Macaca fascicularis: one gene and its partner. The protein of the gene in region 1 interacts with the protein of each later gene in a biochemical or structural test. Links are inferred from orthologs where the notes say so. Each region holds a gene or a part of one and is shown on either strand. Other genes may lie near its edges. The genes, in order: PRPF40A and MECP2.

Region 1 (9,860 bases):
TACCTCAGGGGTTTCTCAAAGACTTATTTGAAGGACTGTTTAAAAAAAATCAGATTGTTAGGTCCCATTTCCAGAATCTGATTCTTTAAGTCTGACGTGGGGTTTCAGAATATGTATTTTCATAATTTCCCAGGTTTCAGAATATACATTTTCATAATTTCCCAGGTGATACTGATTCTGTGCATCTGGGGATCATGCTTTATCTTAAAACTCCAAACTCTTGGCTTCTGAGACACTATACATTCCTCTGGTTCTCCTTGAAAGCCTCAGATCAATCCTTTCCAGACGACATTGACTTCAAATACCAGTTTTAAGACATAAGAAAAACAAAGTCATAGTTTCCTCGTCATAGACGTGATGAATTTTCTGATTAGCAAATGAACACTAAATAAAAATAGTCATCATCATAACCATAAGTACTGAGATGCTCTCCATTAATTATATTTTATTGTCTAATGCCAATCTTCTCTTTTAATTCATTTCACTAAAGTCTTAAATAAATCTTTTGAAGTAGCAGAACAGGAAAATTACCAGGCTGAATATCTGAAAGAATATTAATATAACATACTTAACACCAATTTTATTAGTAGTAATCAGAAACTATGCTAGACACATAGCAATCTGATTCAAAGCCACATTTAGGCTTATTTGCGGAACCGTGCAGACTTTACATCAAAATTTCGCCTCATAGTCTCCACCTTCAGTATTGTTTACGTTATAGTCTCATATTTTCTATGACCCAGATTTCCATCTTATTTTCACTGTATTATTATTTTTTCACATATGTCTCCTTATTTTAAACCACTGCAAAACCTTCACCAGAGACGTTAAAGCTTAGGTTGTGGAAGAGTGTATAATAGTCCTCCTAAATATCTGTCCTCCCCTTCTTCCTGGGCACATGGCTGCTTAGCTAAAAGCTAAGTTTTCTAGCCTCCTTTGTGTAGCTAGTTGTGGCCATGTGACTAAATTCTCAGCAACTGAACCCAAATGAAGGAGGTGAGCAGAGCTTCTAAACCATTAGCTTTAAAAAAGAACTGTTCTTTCGACTTTTTCCAAGTTAAAATGTGAAATGGGGGCAGCATACCCCTAACTCTGCAGAGAAGGTTAACACGCTAGGGCAATGCTTCTCAAAGTATGGTCCAACAGTATCGATACCACCTGGAAATTTAGAAATGTAAATTTTCAGACTACAACCCAGACTTACTAATTCAAATTCTTCAGGTAAGGCCAAACAATTTGTGTTTTTAACCATTGTAGAATATGATAGTCTAGGAAGTCACTAAGATAAAGAAACCCATCAAGAGTAGTAAATGTTAAGTTTTCATTGAATAAGGACCGAAATCATTCTACTGGCTGTGGCGTTTAAGATGGTTAGTAACCTTTGGCATAGTGGGAATAATTTTTTTTTTTTTTTTTGAGACAGGATCTCGCTCTTTCGCACAGTCTAGAGTGCAATGGCGCCATCACAGCTCACTGCAGTCTTGACCTCCTGGGCTCAGGTTCTCCCATCTCAGCCTCCTGAGTAGCTGGGGCTACAGGCGTGCACCACCACACCCAGCTAATTATTATTATTATTTTTGTATTTTTAGTAGGGAGCGGGTTTCATCATGTTGCCCAGGCTGGTCTTGAACTTCTGGACTCAAGCAATTGCCAGCCTCAGCCTCCCAAAGTGCTGGGATTATGGGCATGAGCCACTGTGCCCAGCCAGAAGAAATTTTTAAAAAGTCCTCTACGTCATTCTAATACACACTGAATTTTGAGAACCTCTGCCTTAGGGGATGGCAATATGCCCTGCCCTAGACCAAAAAGACTGTTATTTCAAGAAAAAAACTTAAAATTTAAGCCATTGTAACCTAGCATTCACCCTAATACAATGGTTAATGGAAGAGACCCTGTAATCAAAACTGCATAGATTCAAATTCTGGCTTCACTATTCAGCAACTGTTGAACTTGGGCAAGTCACTTCACCTCTTCATTTCCTTAGTTATATAAACTTATGTAACAAAAACAGTAAGTACCCTTATAAGATAAGACTGTCATAAAAATTGAGATTGTAAACATAAATTGTATTGACAGTAAGCAATCAAAGAACATTAGCTATTACAATTATTATTGAAATGGGTGAGATATGAAATGCAAAAAATTCATTGCTCCATGATATTTTCTATCTCTGAAAATAAAAATGATACTTGAAGATGAAAATAAACTACTAGCTGAAAAACATGCAATCCCAGGTCCTTTTTTTAGTGTTTAAGAAATTATGGCCCATCCCCAAACTATACCCTAGCAGTCCCTTTGTCCTCTAGAAACTAAGTATCATCTACTACTGACTCACCACACATATCTTGTTTCCAGTCATCTCTCCTGTTGTTTTCCCCAACCGAAACCTCATTTATCAATGTTCATCTGTAGAACTTAAAGAGTTAAATGTGTATGAGTCCTCACAAAGCCTAAGTCTATGATCTGGGAACAGTTGTCTCAAAATTCTTTATATTACTGTTCAAGTTCTGTAAGTATAATATAAAACTAAGCTAGAAAAGAGCTTTTTCTTTTACCTGGAAAGATTCCCTATTTTTTCGCTGTCGTCTCCTTTCTCTTAGCAAACTCTTCTGTTTTTCTTCTTCTTCTTCCTTTTCTAAAGCCCGAATGTGTTCTTCAAAGCAAATTAATGCATCTTCTTTGTCCATATCTAAAGTATTTGCCAGTTAAAATTTAAAGTGTCAAATGTCAACAAGTAGTTTATTTGCATTAGATCCCCCAAAATTTCAAAATCACCTGTCAAAAATACTTTTAGCTAGGCTAGGGTGAGGTGGCTCATGCCTGTAATCTCAACACTTTGGAAGGCTGAGGTGGGAGGACTGCTTGAGCCCAGGAGTTCAAGACTAGCCTAGGCAACACAGCAAGACCCCGTCTCTAAACAAACAAACAAACTTGTATTTAAACTCAATATGATTTGTAATCATCTGCATAGGAAAGTTTTAAGGAAAATTTCACAAAGAACTCAATAAAAGGCACACTGAAACATGTCATAGGATAAAACAAAGGACGTGCATATGGCAAAACTAATGAAAATAAAAGTGTTATGATAAAATCTGTTTGCAATATCATAATTATTCCAAGAGCTTAGTATAGAACTGTGCACCCTATAAAAAAAATCTACTGAAGCATGACTTTTAGAGAGGTAGCTGAGAAAGCTATAATTTAAAAAGCAATTGGTTAACTCAGAAAGAATACTTAGGGAAGCCTAATGTAAGATAATTCTAATACATTTTCTTCTTTTTACAAATCTGTAATGTTATTACCTCAAAAAAACACGAGTAAAATGCGGTAATTCATTTAGTTCTTACCAAGTTACATACAAATGGCTAAGCATGATTTCAAATTTGACCTATAATTTAAATATTTCAAGTATTACCTGATAAAGCTACTTTAAATTTGAAAAAACATTTTGTCATGAATCACAAACTCAATCAGAAAGAAATATCCTATTTGGAAATAAATAAAACACTTTTTCAGAAATGAACCAACAACTGCATAAAATTCAGTTAGTTATCTCATATAAAAAGTGAAAATAATTCTTCGCTGCTGGAGGACACTATTTAAAACTATTTCTCTTAGCCATTATTCTTACTTTGTAACTCCTCATCTTCTGCAAAAGTTGGATTATCCATCAGATACTGCTGGGCTTCAGACCAAGTGGTAGAGTACGTTACATTAGCCATGTTGTCAAGTATGTTTTTTAAGGCTTCCCAATTTCTCTTTCGCAACTGCTTTGCTTGTTCCTATAGCAGAAGTATGAATATATATGTTTCAAAGTTCCAAGAAATTAAGATACTTAAATTGCAATTAGTGAAGGCTTTATATTCTAATGGATGACCAAATTTCAAAGGTTAAATCAAATTTCAAGTAAATTTCATTTACTTTAAATGGCCACACTGCTGACTTTGCTTGCTCTTGCCTAAGCACTTGGCTTTGGTACTTAGCTTCACATTTTCCACCTCCTTCTAAAAGCTAGAATCTGGAAACCATGTTTTCAGCTTTTCCCCCATACATTCCCCACTACATAAACCTTTCTACCACTAAGCATTACAGACAAAAACTAAGGTTACCATGGACAAGTCACATTGCAGGTAAATGCTAAAGTCTTCAATGACCTTCAGCTATGTTTAAATTTGATAATACTTGCATCTATGTGTTCCTTGAAAACTAAAAAGCATAAAATATAATAGTGCACAATGAAAAAGAGACAGGAGTGAAATAGGTATTTTAAAATGTTATAAGTTTTGTAGAAACAACTGCACACTGCTGTCATTCTTGTACCAATCATGTTTGTTATAAGCAAAAAAACCCAGCATTTTTAAACCTAATGAGCAAAAAAGGTACCTTCTTTTTCAAAGTGAGTGTTTAAGATAGCCAATTAATGACAATACAAATAGCTGAATTACCCACTGAGTCTACATCAGTACTTAATACGCTACATGAATGATAAAGAAGCTTATTATAGAAGTTACACATTCCATCTTTAAATGTTACTTCCAATAAATAATCTGCTATACCACATAAACTGGATAAACTAAGCCACAAAAACGTACACATTTTAAAACCAATCTTCCTGAGAATGAGGAAACATCTTGTGTTATCTATAAATACCAGTAACTAAGAATACCTTTTCTTTTTTTGAAAGAAAGAACAAAACATCTTCGTAGATTTCAAGACGATCACGTTCTGATATTGCATTCCAAACTTCCATCTCTCCAAACATTTGCTCTGCTTTTCTATGTTAAAAAATTATATTATACAATAAAAATTAATCTTAACCAATTTTTAAACTAAATTTAAAACTACAAAATGAATACTTTCTATTCGAAGTTCATAAAAATATTAAAGGCATAGCACATGCCTCCCTCTCTCGTTAGAGATAGAGGGGATAATTCACATTAGGCACTGCTTATAGTCTAGACTACCTCTGTATCTAGTGGCAGCCACACAAGACTACCAAACTGCTGACAGAACTAAATTACAGACTTCTCTGGAATACTGAGGAAAACAAAGAAGTACATACAGAAAATAGGCTTAATAACATATCGAAAAACTTTTAACATTATCCACAATTTTACATAAGCAATCTAAAATGAAGAATGCTATATAAAACAATTATCCAAAATGCTATGCCTACGTAATGAAAACCGCCTCTTTTTACTCCACAAAGATCAATAATGTCAATGTTTTTAAGTAAAAGGCAATCAAATTTGATTTTTCTTTTCTGTTTTTTGTTTGTTTGTTTTTTGAGACAGGGTCTCGCTGTCACCCTGGAGTGCAGTGGTGCAATTATGGCTCACTGTAGCCTTCCCAGGCTCAAGTGATTTTTCTACCTCAGCCTCCCAAGGAGCTGGGACTACAGGCACGTGCCACCATGCTTGGCTAATTTTTGTATTTTTCTTTTTTTCCCCTATAAACAAGGTTTTACTATGTTGCCAAGGCTGGTCTTGAACTCCTGGGCTCAAGCCATCTGCTTGCCTTGGCCTCACAAATAGTAGGGATTATAGGTGTGAGCCACCACGTCTAGCCTCCAACTTGATTATTGAATTCAATCTTTCTCCCCTTCTTCCAGTCTCTAAAAAACTTAGTAAGTCTACAAGTTAAATTCTACATTTAACTACAGATTTATTTGGTACCTCATGAAGCTTCCACATTCATAATTATCTAGTTTTATTTAATGAGCTCTGGATCAGCTACTGCACATGGCAAAAAAGTACGACACAAACAACAATGTAGTAAATATAGGCCATGCAACATTCAACATCTTACTTGTATCTGGTTGTAGAAGTCATTTTCTCATGATTTTCAAGAAAACGCTGAAAGGATTCCTTAGCCTCTTTGTACTTTGATCTTGCTTCTTCTTTTTCTTCTTTTTCTGTCTGGACTTTATAGGCATTAAAGGCTTGCTTTTTTTCACTTAACTTTGCCAAAGCACTAATATAAAAATACCATATAAGAGTAGACACAGGCAGAAGAATCAAATATTAGTGATTTGATAAAAATAAAATTGTTTACATATATAAATTTTAAAAATTTCAAAAATTTATTAAAGACAAGAAATGATTGGAGAAAGTAATTTCTACTTTTAAAATAATTATTATTTTATATGTAGCAGGGTAAATTGTTTGACTGACTTTTTGGTTATTAGACATAAAACAACTCTATACTTGGTATCCTAAACAGATGTCAACAGAGTTAAATGTTTTCTCTTTCTATACAACTTTAAATGTGTTAGGCTTGCTATGCTCAAACTGAAAAGTAAAAAAAAGCTGAAGTATTACCTGTATCGTGGATCATTAATAATCATTTTCATGGCTTGCTCCCATGAAGCATTTGATGGTACCCGCTGAAAATCATTTAAATGAAAAATTAAAATTTCACACAAGAAGAGTTTAAGTCACATAACAGGAACCAAGTATAATACTCACTGCAAATATCAAGCATTTCCATTTGCAGGAGTTTGAACAAGTTTTAAAAAAATAGTTTTTTATTGAAGGCAAATCTGTGTAATACACCTATGAACTAAAATGAAAACTTTAACTGAAATTTAAATAGAGCATAAATGCTTTTTTCTTAGACTACTGATAAAAGATAATTATTATGAATTTTAAAACCCCTTACATTAAATATTGGGTAGAAATGTGCTTGTGTAATACCTTGTACACAATAGTTTTTGTGTTGAAAGTCAGTTTCACAAGTGTTCTTCAAAAAAAAAAAACAAGACACATTTAGTTGCTTTTCAGTTCAACAGTTCATGAGACTGGTATTATCAATACCATCAAAGTTTAAAGAGTAACGTCATTTATTGGGTAAATATTATGCATCACATAAAAATCTGTAATATATACGTGATGTCAAAAAGTTAAACAATAAAAATCTGCAATATTAATACCTTTTCTTTCAATAATTCTTTAAAAGCTTGCTTTGCCTCCTCCTTTGTATTCCAAGTGTATGTTTTCTTTGCTGGTTGGCTCTCCTCCTCTTCCTTTTTGGGAGTAAAACTAGAGAGAAATTCAAATGTGGTATTTATGAATTAAATAAATTTTTGTTTCATTTAGAAAAATAATGCCTAAACTGTTTAAATGTTTGATGTTGAATTAAAATTTGACATTTAGGATAAAAGCTATATGAACTCTAAAAAACACACTTATCTGAAGACAAAGAAATAAAGATAATAGTTTCATAAAACTTCAGTTATTAAATCAGTTTTTAAGACCCTGGACAAATGACAAAATAAACGTTTAACTGACTTAAGACACTAGCTCCTCTGGCCCACAGGTTAATAGTTTTAAATGGCTTATTAAACTCATTCACTGGTTCCACATTAGTGCTGCAATAACTCTAAGGATTTGGGCAAGGGTGAAGATTAATAAGATGTAAGGATCAATCTAAATCAGGATTGACAAACTACAACCCACTAGTCAAATTCAGCCTATTAATTTTTGTAATTCTAGTTTTACTTGAAAATGCCCATGTTCATTTGTTTACAGATTGTTTATCGCTGACTGTGCTACCACAGCTGATTTGAGTCACTATATAAAGACTATATGACACAAATAACCCAAAAATATTTCCAATCTGATATTTCATGAAAAAGTGTGCTGAATACTGATGTCAAACAAAAATTAATACTACCCAGAATCACTAACTTGTTTAATAATTGGGGGTCTTCCTGACAAGAAAAAATTGTATAAGCCTTACATTTCTTTCTACATAATAAGGGAATGTATGGGGTGGGGGTCGGGGGATGAAAAAAAAATACTTTAAGTAGAATGCTGACGCAAACAGACACTGTAGTAGATACTGACAAAAAATGATCTCTATTATAGTAATTAAAATCAAAAGCATATTATAATGACTCAGGCACTATAGCAAGGAAATGTCGGAATGAAAAAAGCAGGGAACAACTATTTAATGTTAAACTTATGGAAAACATTATTGATGAAACGTTTCAGTACGACAAGATGCAAAATAAAATTATTCCAAAAAGCCTAAGTATCTACGGATAGGGGAGCACTTCCATTCATGCACAATCAAATGATAGTAACCCATCACTAGACATGATGGGTCCACATTTCTATCAATGTGGAAGATGTCTCTGATATATTAGATATATATTCATGTATCTTAAATGTAGAGAAAATGTTAATTTCATTTTCATGCCTTCAAATACGCCATACGGATTTCTTTTAAAACGTTTTAAGCATCAGAAAAGGTTATCAATCTATTTTGACTTTGGGAAACTAACATACGAACAACAAAAGAACACTTAAAATAAGGGATGGATGGATGAAGGCAACACGCTTAAATATTAAGATGGATAATCATGTTTGGATAATGAGCTTACGGTTAACTATTTTTTTTAAAAAAACATGAGGGCACCCTTAAAGTCAAGAAATTTAGCTTGATCTCACTTTCTAAAGCTCTATAAAGCACAGCCATATAAACTGTACTAGACTACAGGTTATGCAAGTACACACAAACTGTGAACTCTTGACAGATACAGCTTTGTTTTATTAAAAAGTTGTATTACTTTAGTCTAAGAGTGAAATGAGAGTTTTCTTATATCTGGTGTTATCTTTTAAATGTTTCTCTACTTGATTTTCACTTAGAAAAATAATCACAATATTATTTTAACTTGTATTTCTTTATTATTATGGCTGAATGGCTTTTCATATACTTCCTAGACAACTTTCTTTCTCTGTAAATTGCCTTTTTTCCTTGGCCAGGTAGAAAAATCCCAGCATTCTGGGAGGCTGAGGCAGGCCAATGAGCTAGGCATGGTGCATGTGCCTGCAGTCCCAGCTACTCAGGAGGAGACTGAGGTGGCAGAATCGCTTGAGCCCAGGAGGTCGAGGATGCAGTGAGCCCTGATCACGCCACTGCATTCCAGCCTGGATGACAGAGGGAGACCCTGTGTCAAAAAAAAGAAAAAAAAAGGGTGGCCTTGCTCTCTCACCCAGGCTGGAGTGCGGCGGTATAATCATAGCTCACTGCAGCCTTGAACTCCTAGGCTCAGTGACCCTCCTGCCTCAGCCTCCCCAGTAGTTGAGGTTAAAAGTGCTGGCTGATTTTTAAATTTTTTGTAGAGAGAGGGTCTTGCTATGTTGCCCAAGTTGACATTAAACTCTTGGCCTCAAATGATCCTCCTGCCTGGTCCTCCCAAAGTGCTGGGATTACAGGTGTGAGCCACCATGCCTAGCCATAAACTGCTTTTTCCCCCCCCATAATTCCTTTTTCTACAAAGCTGTATTTTTAAAACTGATTTATAGGAGGCTGAAACCCAAAACACCAATAACCAAAGAAGAAACAGTACACCTATCTTAACTGAAAATATTGAGTCTGTTAATCATGAATTTCTGCACTGCTCTCATGTAAAATATTGCATCAAGATATGATGTATCTTGCTTACTAAGGTTTTTGGCAATCTTTCAGATTTGTGCCCCAACTCCCCAGCCTTGGCTCTACTTGTTAAAATTTCAGCGAACTAAAAATTTCAAGTTTGCTGGCATAACCCTCCAAAATTCAGCCTGAAAACTGATCAACTATCTTAACGGCTTGATATTACGATTCTCAAAAAAATTTATTTAAACAATTTATGGCCACTAAACTGGCAACTACTTTTATTAATGAAATCTGGTACTGATTTTTAGAAGACAAGTTACTAAACTTACTCAGCTACAGTTTCTTGCTTAGATGTTTCTTCTCCAGTATTACTGGATACTTCCACACTTTGATCCTGAATAGCAGGGGTACTAGTAAGTTGTGCTTGTTCCTCAGTTGAAATAGTTACTGTATTCTCATTATCTACAACAGTAGCA
Region 2 (10,444 bases), on another chromosome or scaffold:
GGGAGGAGTGTGGCAAGCACATGATATTTATTAGTCATGGCCCCCGGTGTTCTGAGACAGCTTTCAGGAGGGTGTCCTTCTAGGGAACCAACCATATACCAGTTCCCATATCTGAAAATGCATTACCACTGCTCACTAACGCTGACCACTAAAGCATTTACTCCAAACCGAAGTAAACACATGCTGAAGACCGCTAAGGCAACAGCAGCAGCGCAGAAGGGCTCAGTGCAAGCGCTCTCAGCTCAGCTGACCTGCTTCAAGGTGAACTGAAGTTGCAGATCACCAGTTCCGGCTCTAATCTGACGCCCGCCCCCAGATCTCGCTGTAGCGACCAGGTAACCCTACCCACACTGACCTTTCAGGGCTCAGGGAAGTGACTTTTTTTTATTATATGGCACAGTTTGGCACAGTTATGTCTTTAGTCTTTGGGGTACTTTTATACTGTCCAAGAGTAGTATATTTTTTTCCTTTTTTCCTTTTTTTTTTTTTTTTTTTAAAAAAAAAAAACAGATGGCCAAACCAGGACATATACTAAAAAAAAAAAAAGGAAGGTTACTTACCTGAGCCCTAACATCCCAGCTACCATGGAATCCTGTTGGAGCTGGTCTACAGAAGCAAGGTGTATTCTGGGGAGTCACATGTCACATCAAAGCAGGAACTGGTGAGTCTGTATTTTTATGGAGCCTAAAACAAAGAAAATTGTAAGTTGAAAGCCCCCATTGAGCTGCACGACCTTTTTCCCAGGGCTATTTGGGACATTTTGAAGATAAACACACAGACAAAGTACTATGCTATTTCCCAGCTTACCTAGCTAGAAACAAAGGATAAACTGCAAATTACTGGCACGTAAGTAACACACAGTGCTAAAATAGAGGAAAGACTCATGCTTGTTAGAATCAACACTATCACAAGTCTTGTCACCTCTAGGGGACACTTCGACAGTACAAAAGCATACCATGAATGGTGATTTCTGGCCAGTATTTCTTCCACCACGTCACACAGAAATTCTCAGGGAAGAATACATATTCAAGAGAATATGCAACATCAAAATACCATCCCTGAAAGAACACATGGAACCTAGAGGCAGTCTCCCTTCTTTTGCAAGCAGCTGAATGAAGTTGCAATGAGCTGCTGTAACAACATCACATAAAGGGGCTTTAATCCTGAGAGAAAAAATCAGCACCATGGGAAACCAAGTGCTCTGGGAGACCCAAAGCCATCATCCAAAACATGCAAGTCTATTTCAGGGCAATCAGTTTTAAGCCTCTCAGATCAGTCAATCTCACTATTTAACAAACTGAGTTATCAGTTTGATAGTTTCTCTTTTGCTTTTGAACACATGTTCAAAAAAGGACTTTTGTCAGTACCATTTCTGTCATTAAGATAACCATCATTTCCTTGTTAAAGCCTAAACTGCCCCATATTAATTACCTAATTTCTGATACTATGCTGGCCCAAAAGTAGCACTTTTATAAGCTAAAAACAAAAGCTCAGAGCATACAACTTAGAGACCATCCACACAATTACTCATGTAATCAAACCCGGAAGAAGGGCAACACCAACCAAGTCTTTTACTGCTCTTTTGCTGCTCTATAGCTAACAGGATGGTATCTAAAATTATCTTTTGAGGTTCAGTGAGGCCTCATAATTCCCTTAAACAGTCAAGTCATAGAATACTTTGAAACCCCAGAAGTCAAGTTAATAGTATTACTCGGTTAGCTATCTAATAAAAACCAAACTGGTATCCTGGCTAGGAGGCCCTGGAAAAGTCACAACTTCTCAGGGACACAGGTTTTTTTTTTGTTTGCAAACTGATGGTGCTGGACTAAGGATCCTTCTAGTTCTTAAAGTTTAAGATAATTAACTTAAGATTTCATGTCAAAAAGAAAAGAGACAGAGGCTGGGTGCGGTGGCTCACGTCTGTAATCCCTGCACTTTGGGAGGCCGAGGCAGGTGGATCACAAGGTCAGGAGTTCAAGACCAGCCTGGCCAAGATGGCGAAACCCTGTCTCGACCAAAAAAAAAAAAAACCAAACCAAACAAAAAAAAAATTAGCCAGACGTGGTGACGGGTGCCCGTAATCCCAGCTACTTGGGAGGCTGAGGCAGAGAACTGCTTGAATCCAGGAGGCAGAGGTTGCAGTGAGCTGAGATTGTGCCACTGCACTCCAGCCTGGGCGACAAAGCAAGACTGTCTCAAAAAAAAAAAAAAAAAAAAAAAAAGAAAGAAAGAAAAGAAAAAAGAAAGAAAGAAGCCAGAAAATGAGAGCAGTTTGTGAAATCTAATAAAGAAAAAAGTTCATATATATATAAAACACCCCTAGCTCTTAGGCAAGGAAGACAAGTGCATCCTTACTAAGGTTTAGTCCTGTCAGCTTCAGAGGCAATAATGAGAGCCCAGACTACAGTGTCTACAGGAACTGCAAAACAGCCACACACCACAGCGGGGACACATTCACACGCCACCAGACCCAGCATATGTGTGCTTGAAGAAGTTATAAAGACTCAGGCTTTTTATTCTCTAACGAAATGGTCATTCTCCCTTTGATGTGGGGGTGGGGATGCCCTGCCCACCCCCCAATTCCGGCTCCCACTCAGTTATCCCACACACCATACATACCATCGAAGTATTTAAGCAATGGCATGTGAACCAAGCTTTTGACAGGAGAAGGTTTCTTGAAATAGAAAGGCAGAAGAAAACAGATAAAAGCAGAAGAGCTCAACTTCTACTTAAGCCCAAAGAAGAGGGACCTGTTCATGTCTTGTCCTACCCGGAATGATGCACATGCACAGGGCTTGCCCGGACAGCAGTAGTTTCACTGGAAAGGGCTGGTATGGAGGCACTGAGGACAAGGTCCTTCCATCGCAGCGGTGATAATGCTCTACCCAAGAAAAAGAGATTGTGTCTGCCAGCCACGCAAGACTGGTCTGCAAGGATGTCACCATAGTAGAGGGCAGGGAAAACAAGCAGGTGTCCTGCCACACTCTTCGGGACTGGCCAGTCTAGGAGTGTGCTTTACCCCATGCACTGAAAACACTGGTTACTAGAAATATCAAACATTTTCTGTGATTCTCTCCTCCTCCAAGATAACTCGGGCAGCTTGAGAACAAACTGCTTTTAGCTAATTAAAAGATTTCTGCAGATATTACCCTTTATAAAATATTTCAGGTTCTAGGACACGTCATTTATCATGCAGAGTCCAAAGCAGTGGAAACCAGGCTCCAATAAGGAACTAACAATTTTATCTCTGTTGTTCTTTATTTTAGGTTAAAGAAACGAACTTCTCATTTCATCTCCACATGGGAGGAATGTTCCAGAGGGGGTAACAGCCTATTAAACTCATCTAGCCAGTTTTTTTGTTTATTTTTTTTTCAAACTCCACAGCTTGCCTCCCTACTCCACTAGATGAGATTGCACAGAGGCAGGGCAGGCACGGGAAATGACTCTGGTTGGAAATTACAAACATATACACACAGAATGTAAGCACCATAACCCTTTGAATACACAGTGGTTTGTGCCTTGCCCCAGACCTACCTAAGTATTAAACAGCACAAAAGTCGGAGTTCTGCTGACTGTATGACACTCTCCTATCAATCGGGTAAAACAAAGACCCAGTACTCTAAGCTTAAAGCATTCCAGGTTAAATTTTAGTAACAGGCAATAGGAAGGTGTGATAGGCCAGTGCTAACAAGAAAGTCATAGATGGTTTCTTTGAGCTGTTAGGACACTGGAAAGGGCTGGTATGGAAGCCCTATGGAGCCATTAGGACAATGGAAAGGGGGGTACCCCTCCACCCGGCACTTTGAAGAGAAAACTATACTATGGAAGCTGCCTGCACTGTTGAAAGGGCTAGGTGTATGATAAACAGCTAACTGGAGGGGAACCCGAGGAGACAAACTGCCAACTATGAAGAACAAAGCAGAGACCTCAACTTGTCATGTCTCAAGCTCAGATGTACAAACTTTGGGATCGTCAAGTGAGGCTCCTGTGTCTGCCTGGGGATATGACTGTATTCCAGTGATCAGCCACCTAGCTGACCTGCCACGAATGGGTGACCTGTGGTGACTTATTTTAATCAATTGTACTACTTCTAGATTGATTGGGTGATTTAAGGTTCTGACATATTCACGTAAGAAAATAAAAGCAAGTGCTTCCTACACTTCCTGACTGGGATTTAAAATAGAAATCCTGAAAAGCCCATAAATAAGCCTATTTCCCTAAATCCTTGGTGGAAATTCCCAAAAGATTAAAAAATCCAGACCCTATCTTATTATAGGGACCCAGCAGATTTCAAAAGACTCAAGAGGTCAGCTTAATCTGGTTATTAACTGAAATTGCTGAGATACAGATGAACATTCCAGCCACGGAACCCAAAATTCTCTAGAGTAATAATTACCTATTAGTGCAACGTTACTACCGAGGCCGTATATGCTTTTTACAGTATAACAAAATGCCTAAAACTTATGAGAGTCCTACAACGTCTAAGTCACTCAGTATCACATCCAAGTAGGTATGGTTCCTGGATCACCAACCAACCCATGAATTCGATCCTGTTATCTCAGTTTGGGGTACTGATCCCGCACAGCAGAGACACAACGTGTGCAAGGCTCGGCAGAGCCCATTCCTGTTCCTGGAAAAATAACCAGAAGCACACATCTGTCTGACCATGAGTCAGGAATATCAATTTTGTGGTGGAGCCCATTTCTGCTGTGACCAACCCACACCCGAACACACTCACAACAGAAGTCACCGCCACAGAGCAATTCCAGAATGAGCTTTTTCCCCCTTGGGGTCCATACTTAGCAATGTCATAAACGGTCTCCCCTGCGAGAGCAATCCTTTTAAACTCTTCATAATGACCTTAAGTCTTTAGTGCAAAACCACAGAAACATTGCCACTGCCATATAAAAGTCATCTGAGTTTCAGTTTGGGTGATTCGGTCATAACCAAACTGAACAGAGAATAACCTTTCAGGCACAATGAACAGGAGCCACAGCGTCGCGATGAACTTGCTCCATCTGGTACCGGTGATCCCGAGCGCTCCAGGGCGATGAGAGCCCGTTACCTACTATGTCCCACTCCACTTATGTAACTGGAAGATCGCCGGCGAAGGGGAGGGTAAGATGGGAGGGTGCTCACATTCCGAGGCCACAGCACTCCAAAGAACCTCTGAGCACCCTGGGGACACGCTCGCACCTTAGAGCCTCAGGCGCCGAAGAGCCTCGGGTGCTGCTGGACGCACAGTCCCCTACTCACGGCTCCTGATGGGAACTATAACCACCTCTTTATGATGAGTTGTGGGACCCAGAACACAATGTCTAGTCCTTTTGTGGACAATAATCCCCACCTCCTTGTTCCTGCTAGATGGGGAAAGGAGCCGGTGGACCTACTCGCTCGCGTGGGGGTGGGGGGGCAGAAATTCATGGAATGGGCGAGAAGGAGGGGGAGGCAAAGCCCAGAGATGGGGGTGAGAGCTCAGGAGCCCTTGTGGCGCACTCTCCCGACGGGAGGCGAAGTGCGCACGCGCGCCGGTGGGGGGGGCCAAGTAACGGGAGAGGGGGCGCGCGAGGGAGGAGAGGGGAGAGCGCGATCCAGGGAGAGGCCGGGGCCGCGGGCGCGCGACGGCGCCGCGGCCCAAAGCCCCGAGCAGGGCAGGAGCGCGCGCAGCCCCGACAGGCGAAGCCCCGGCGACAGGGGCGCCCGCGGGGCCGGGGGCCGGGATGCGCGCCGAGGGCGGAAGGAAGAGGGGCGTCAGGCGAAGGCGGCTCCAGGGAGGCCGCGCCGAGGACGGTCACCCGCGAGCACGGGTGACGGGCCGAAGGGAGAGTCGCCACCGGCGGCGGCGGGAGGGGGAGGGTAGAGAGGAGGGACGCCATCCGCCAGCCGTGTCGTCCGACCCCGCGGGCCCCTCCCGCGCCACGTCCCGCCCCTGACCCCCGCCCCCCGGCAAGGGTCCCCGCCCGCGGCCACGGCGGTCCCACTCACAGTCTCTCCTCCTCGCCTCCTCCTCCTCCTCCGCTCGGCGCGGCGGCGGCGGCGGCGGCCATTTTCCGGACGGCTTTTACCACAGCCCTCTCTCCGAGAGGAGGGAGCGCGCGCGCCGCCGACGCCGGGACCCCGCACGGTCGACGTCGCGCCCCGCCCTCCCGGCCGGCCCGCGCGCTGCTGCACCTGCGCGCCCGCGCCCCGCCCCCGGCGCCGCTGCGAGCCCGCCCGCCATTGGCTGTGATGGCCGGGCTGGGGCGGGGGGGCGGTCACAGCGGCGATGCCGTCAATTGGCGAGATTTCTTGTCCATTTCGGCCAGGGAAAAGGAGGCGGTCCCCTCCAGCTGTTGATTGGCTGCTTTCGGCCGACGTTTGGGGAAAAGAGGCGGCTTGGGCGCGGAGGGGCTGGTTTAGTGGGCGGAATTTGAATGTTAAGGATTAATGGACCCTTGCGGATGCTGGGGCAAGTGAAGGCCCAGGCTCGGGACGCCTGTTTGCGCGGCCCTGAGGGGCGATTGACCCTCTGTCCACAGATGCACCGAGTGCGCTGCAATAAGCGTTTCACTGCACCCGCAGTTTCTCAATATCACCATTTTCAGCAGAAGCAGCAAAGTTACCCGCCCTGGAGCCTGACGTTGCCCCAGCTGAGGGGCCTTGGTTTCAGAGGCCTACTCAATGCATTATTTCATCTGAGCCTGCCCGGTGGTCACGTTCTCGTAGGGGTGGGGAATAAACTGACAACAAATCCCAACCCTGGCCTTCGCAGAACTCTGGCGGGGGAAGAGAGTGCATGCCAAGGCCTCGTGACACCTGTCATTGTTGGATCAGATGGTTTGGTGGAGGTGTGAATAAGGGGCAATGTTAGCTCTGCCTGAAAGATGTGATTTGGGAGCTGAGATCCAGCAATTGTTCACTTTCCTAGAAAAATGGATTTGGAGCTGAGATCCAGCAATTGTGTTTTGGGAAAATATGAGAAAAGTGTTAGCTAACCAGGTGTTCAGGACAGGAGTGTTTGTTAAGGGGACCTTACCCTGATGCCAGTCATTATCCAATCCATTCAGTGATCCTTCTGTTAGTTCTATGCTTAGCAAGAAAACCTGATTCTGATTTGGCTGCCTGCCCCCATTCATTTATTGACTACCTGCTATGTGCCAGGCACTCTTCCAGGCTCTGGATGCATGGTACTGAACAGACAGCATACTAAGATTCTTGCCGGGAAGATTCATACTAGCATACACATAAGTATAATGTATCATTTCACATAGTGACAGGGGCTTTGAGAAAGATAGAGTAAGAGTAAAGGGGGTGCTATTTAGGTATCTATGGGTTTTCATCCTCATTTTACTCCCTCATTTGAATATCTGGGGAAAGAACATTCCAGGCAAGTTCAAAGGCCATGAGGAGAGACTATGCCTGGCATGTTGGGGACTAACAAGGAGGTCAGTGTTGCTGGAGAGTGGTAGGGAATGTGATTGGAAAGGCAGCCGGGGCCACTATGAAAACTGGGAGTTCATTCTTTTTTGGGGGGGTGGGGGATGGGGTCTCATTCTGTAGCCCAGGCTGCAGTGCAGTGGTGCAATCTTGGCTCACTGCAACCTCCACCCTGAGCTCAAGCGATCCTCCCTGCTCAGCGTCCTAAGTAGCTGGGACCACAGATGCTCACCACGCCTGGCTAAGTTTTTGTATTTTTGATAGAGATGGGGTTTCACCATGTTGCCCAGACTGGTCTCAAACTCCTGAGTTCAGGTGATCCGCCCACCTCAAAGTGCTGGGACTACAGGTGTGAGCCACCGCACCTGGCCAGAACTGAGTTTATTCTAAGATGAGAAGCCCTTAGAGGATTTTGAGCCAGGAGCTGTCTGATGTATGTTGCAGGTGTAGAGTGGAGAACTGGACATGATGGGACAAAACTACAGCACAAGGCTAGTTGCGAGGCCCTAGAACAGTCTAGGAGAAAGAGATGATGGTGGCTTTAACTAGGGTGGTAGCAGTCAGTGCAGCTCTGAGAAGTTGTGAGATTCAAGATATGTTTTCAAAACTGAACAAAAGGACTGGATGTAGGGCACAGAGAAAGGAAAGAAACAAGGATAATTCCTGAGATTGGGGCCTGAGCAACTGGGGAAATAAGGGTGCCTTTCACCATGGTGGGGAGAGCTACAGGAAAAGTACATTTTCAGAGGTGCAGATCAAGAGTTCTGCTTTGGCTATATTAAGCTTGGGGTGCCCAGTGGTGTGAAAATGGAGATGTTGAGTAAGCCGTTGGGTGTGTGATGCTAAAGTATAGAGATGCAGCTAAAGCAGTCAAAAAGTCATCACGCTGAACATCCAATTCAAGAAGCCATAAAAAAATGACAGAGTAAGCCTGCAAAAGTAGAAGAAAGAAAAATAAGGATGAATAAAACTTAATGAAATAGAAACAAATGATGGAGAGGATTGAGAAAATTTTAAACCTGCTTCTTTGAAAAGCTGAAAAACAAGAGCCAACCCTCTAACAAGCTGGATATAAAAAGAAAAGAGAAAAGTAAATTATATTACTCATGGAAAGATTTTATTGTGAACCGTGCGTCAGTAAATTTGAAAACATAAGCAAAAGGAATACATTCCTAGGAAAGTACAGCTTACCAAAACCAGCTCTAGAAACAGAAAATCCCTGTAACCACAATGAAATTGACTATGTATTTAAAAACCTACCCATCCCCCTACGCACAGACACAGACACACAGACACACAGACACACACACACACACACACACAGAGAGAGAGAGAGAGAGAGAGAGAGAGAGAACAGACCAAGAGGGCTTTACGGATGACTTCTACCAAATCTTTAATGAGTAGGCAATGCCAATCATACACAGAAAAGAAATAAATGTCTCCAAACTTATTTTACTAGACTAATATATCTACTATGATGAGCCAAGAAAAGTATGACACAAGATGTGGAAATAAGTTTTAAAATTCTAGACAAATAAACTGAATCCTGCAGTATATGATCTATCACAACCGAGTTCAATTTTATCCTAAGAATGCAAATATGGTTTACAATTAGAAACTCAACCTTAACAAACTTAAGGGGAAAAACACCACATAATTATTTCAATAGATGCAGAAAAAGCATTTGATAAAATTCAACATCTACTTATGATTTTTTTTAAAAATCAGGCCGGGCGCGGTGGCTCAAGCCTGTAATCCCAGCACTTTGGGAGGCCGAGGCGGGCGGATCACAAGGTCAGGAGATCGAGACCACAGTGAAACCCCGTCTCTACTAAAAATACAAAAAATTAGCCGGGCGCGGTGGCGGGCGCCTGTAGTCCCAGCTACTCAGGAGGCTGAGGCAGGAGAATGGCGGGAACCCGGGAGGCGGAGCTTGCAGTGAGCCGAGATCGCGCCACTGCACTCCAGCCTGGGCAACAGCGTGAGACTCCGTCTCAAAAAAAAAAAAAAAAAAAAAAAAAAAAAAAATCAGAGAACTGGAGTTCAAGACAAGCCTGGGCAACATAGCAAGAAGCAAGACCTGGTCTTTACAAAATAAAAAATTTTAAATATTAGCCAGACGTAGTGGCACACACCTGTAGTCCCAGCTCCCTGGAAAGCTTAGGTGGAAGGATCACTTGAGCCCAGGAGTGAGCTATGATTGCACACAGCACTCTCGCCTGGGCAACAAAGCAAGACCCTGTCTCTTAAAAAAAAAAAAAATTGACCAGGCATGGTGGCTCATGCCTGTAATCTCAGCACATGGGTCACGAGATCAGGAGATTGAGATCATCCTGGCTAAAATGGTGAAACCCCATCTCTACTAAAAATACAAAAAAATTAGCCGGGCATGGTGGCACGCACCTGTAGTCCCAGCTACTCGGGAGGCTGAGGCAGGAGAATTGCTTGAACCTGGGAGGTGGAGGTTGCAGTGAGCCGAGATCGTGCCACTGCACTCTAGCCTGGGCAACAGATCAAGACTGCGTCTCAAAATAAATAGATAGCTAGATAGAGAGACAGACAGATAAAATAAAAGGTTAGGAGAAGGCAAAAGACCTGAATAGACATTTCTCAAAAGAAGACATTCAAATGACCAACAGGTGCATGGGAAAAAGCTCGCTAGGCACCTTGGCTTACACCTGTAATCCCAGCACTTTGGTAGGCCGAGGTGGGAAGATCACTTGAGTCCTGGAGTTCAAGACCAGCCTGGTTAACGTGGCAAGACCGCTGTCTCTAAAAAAAGGAAAAATTAGCCAGTCATAGTGGTGTACACTTGTCATCTCAGCTACTTGGGAGGTTGGGGTGGGAGGATCACTTGAGCCCAGGAGGTTGAGGCTACAATAAGCTAGGATCGTGCCATTGCACTTTGGCCTGGGTGACAGAGTGAGACCCTGTCTCGAAAAAAGAAAGAGAAGGAAGAAAGAAAGGAAGGAAGGAAGGAGAAAAAAAGCTCAACATCACTCATTCTCAGGGAAATTCAAATCAAAAG

The links.
Region 2: the proteins of PRPF40A (region 1) and MECP2 form a complex in vitro, tested with the Homo sapiens proteins (2 studies listed by BioGRID, with this or other methods). The link is inferred for Macaca fascicularis from reciprocal best matches to the Homo sapiens genes PRPF40A and MECP2.

The regions. Positions count from the first base shown.
Region 1 is NC_088386.1:48,174,530-48,184,389, forward strand, and holds part of PRPF40A (pre-mRNA-processing factor 40 homolog A), read right to left. Parts: coding exon 9,714-9,860; intron 7,041-9,713; coding exon 6,932-7,040; intron 6,386-6,931; coding exon 6,321-6,385; intron 5,974-6,320; coding exon 5,809-5,973; intron 4,776-5,808; coding exon 4,667-4,775; intron 3,783-4,666; coding exon 3,632-3,782; intron 2,690-3,631; coding exon 2,556-2,689; intron 1-2,555.
Region 2 is NC_088395.1:160,162,269-160,172,712, forward strand, and holds the start of MECP2 (methyl-CpG-binding protein 2), read right to left. Parts: upstream 6,081-10,444; 5' UTR 6,048-6,080; coding exon 5,986-6,047; intron 2,882-5,985; coding exon 2,771-2,881; intron 685-2,770; exon of another isoform or gene 587-684; coding exon of another isoform or gene 561-586; intron 1-560. UniProt on the Homo sapiens protein: Chromosomal protein that binds to methylated DNA. It can bind specifically to a single methyl-CpG pair. It is not influenced by sequences flanking the methyl-CpGs.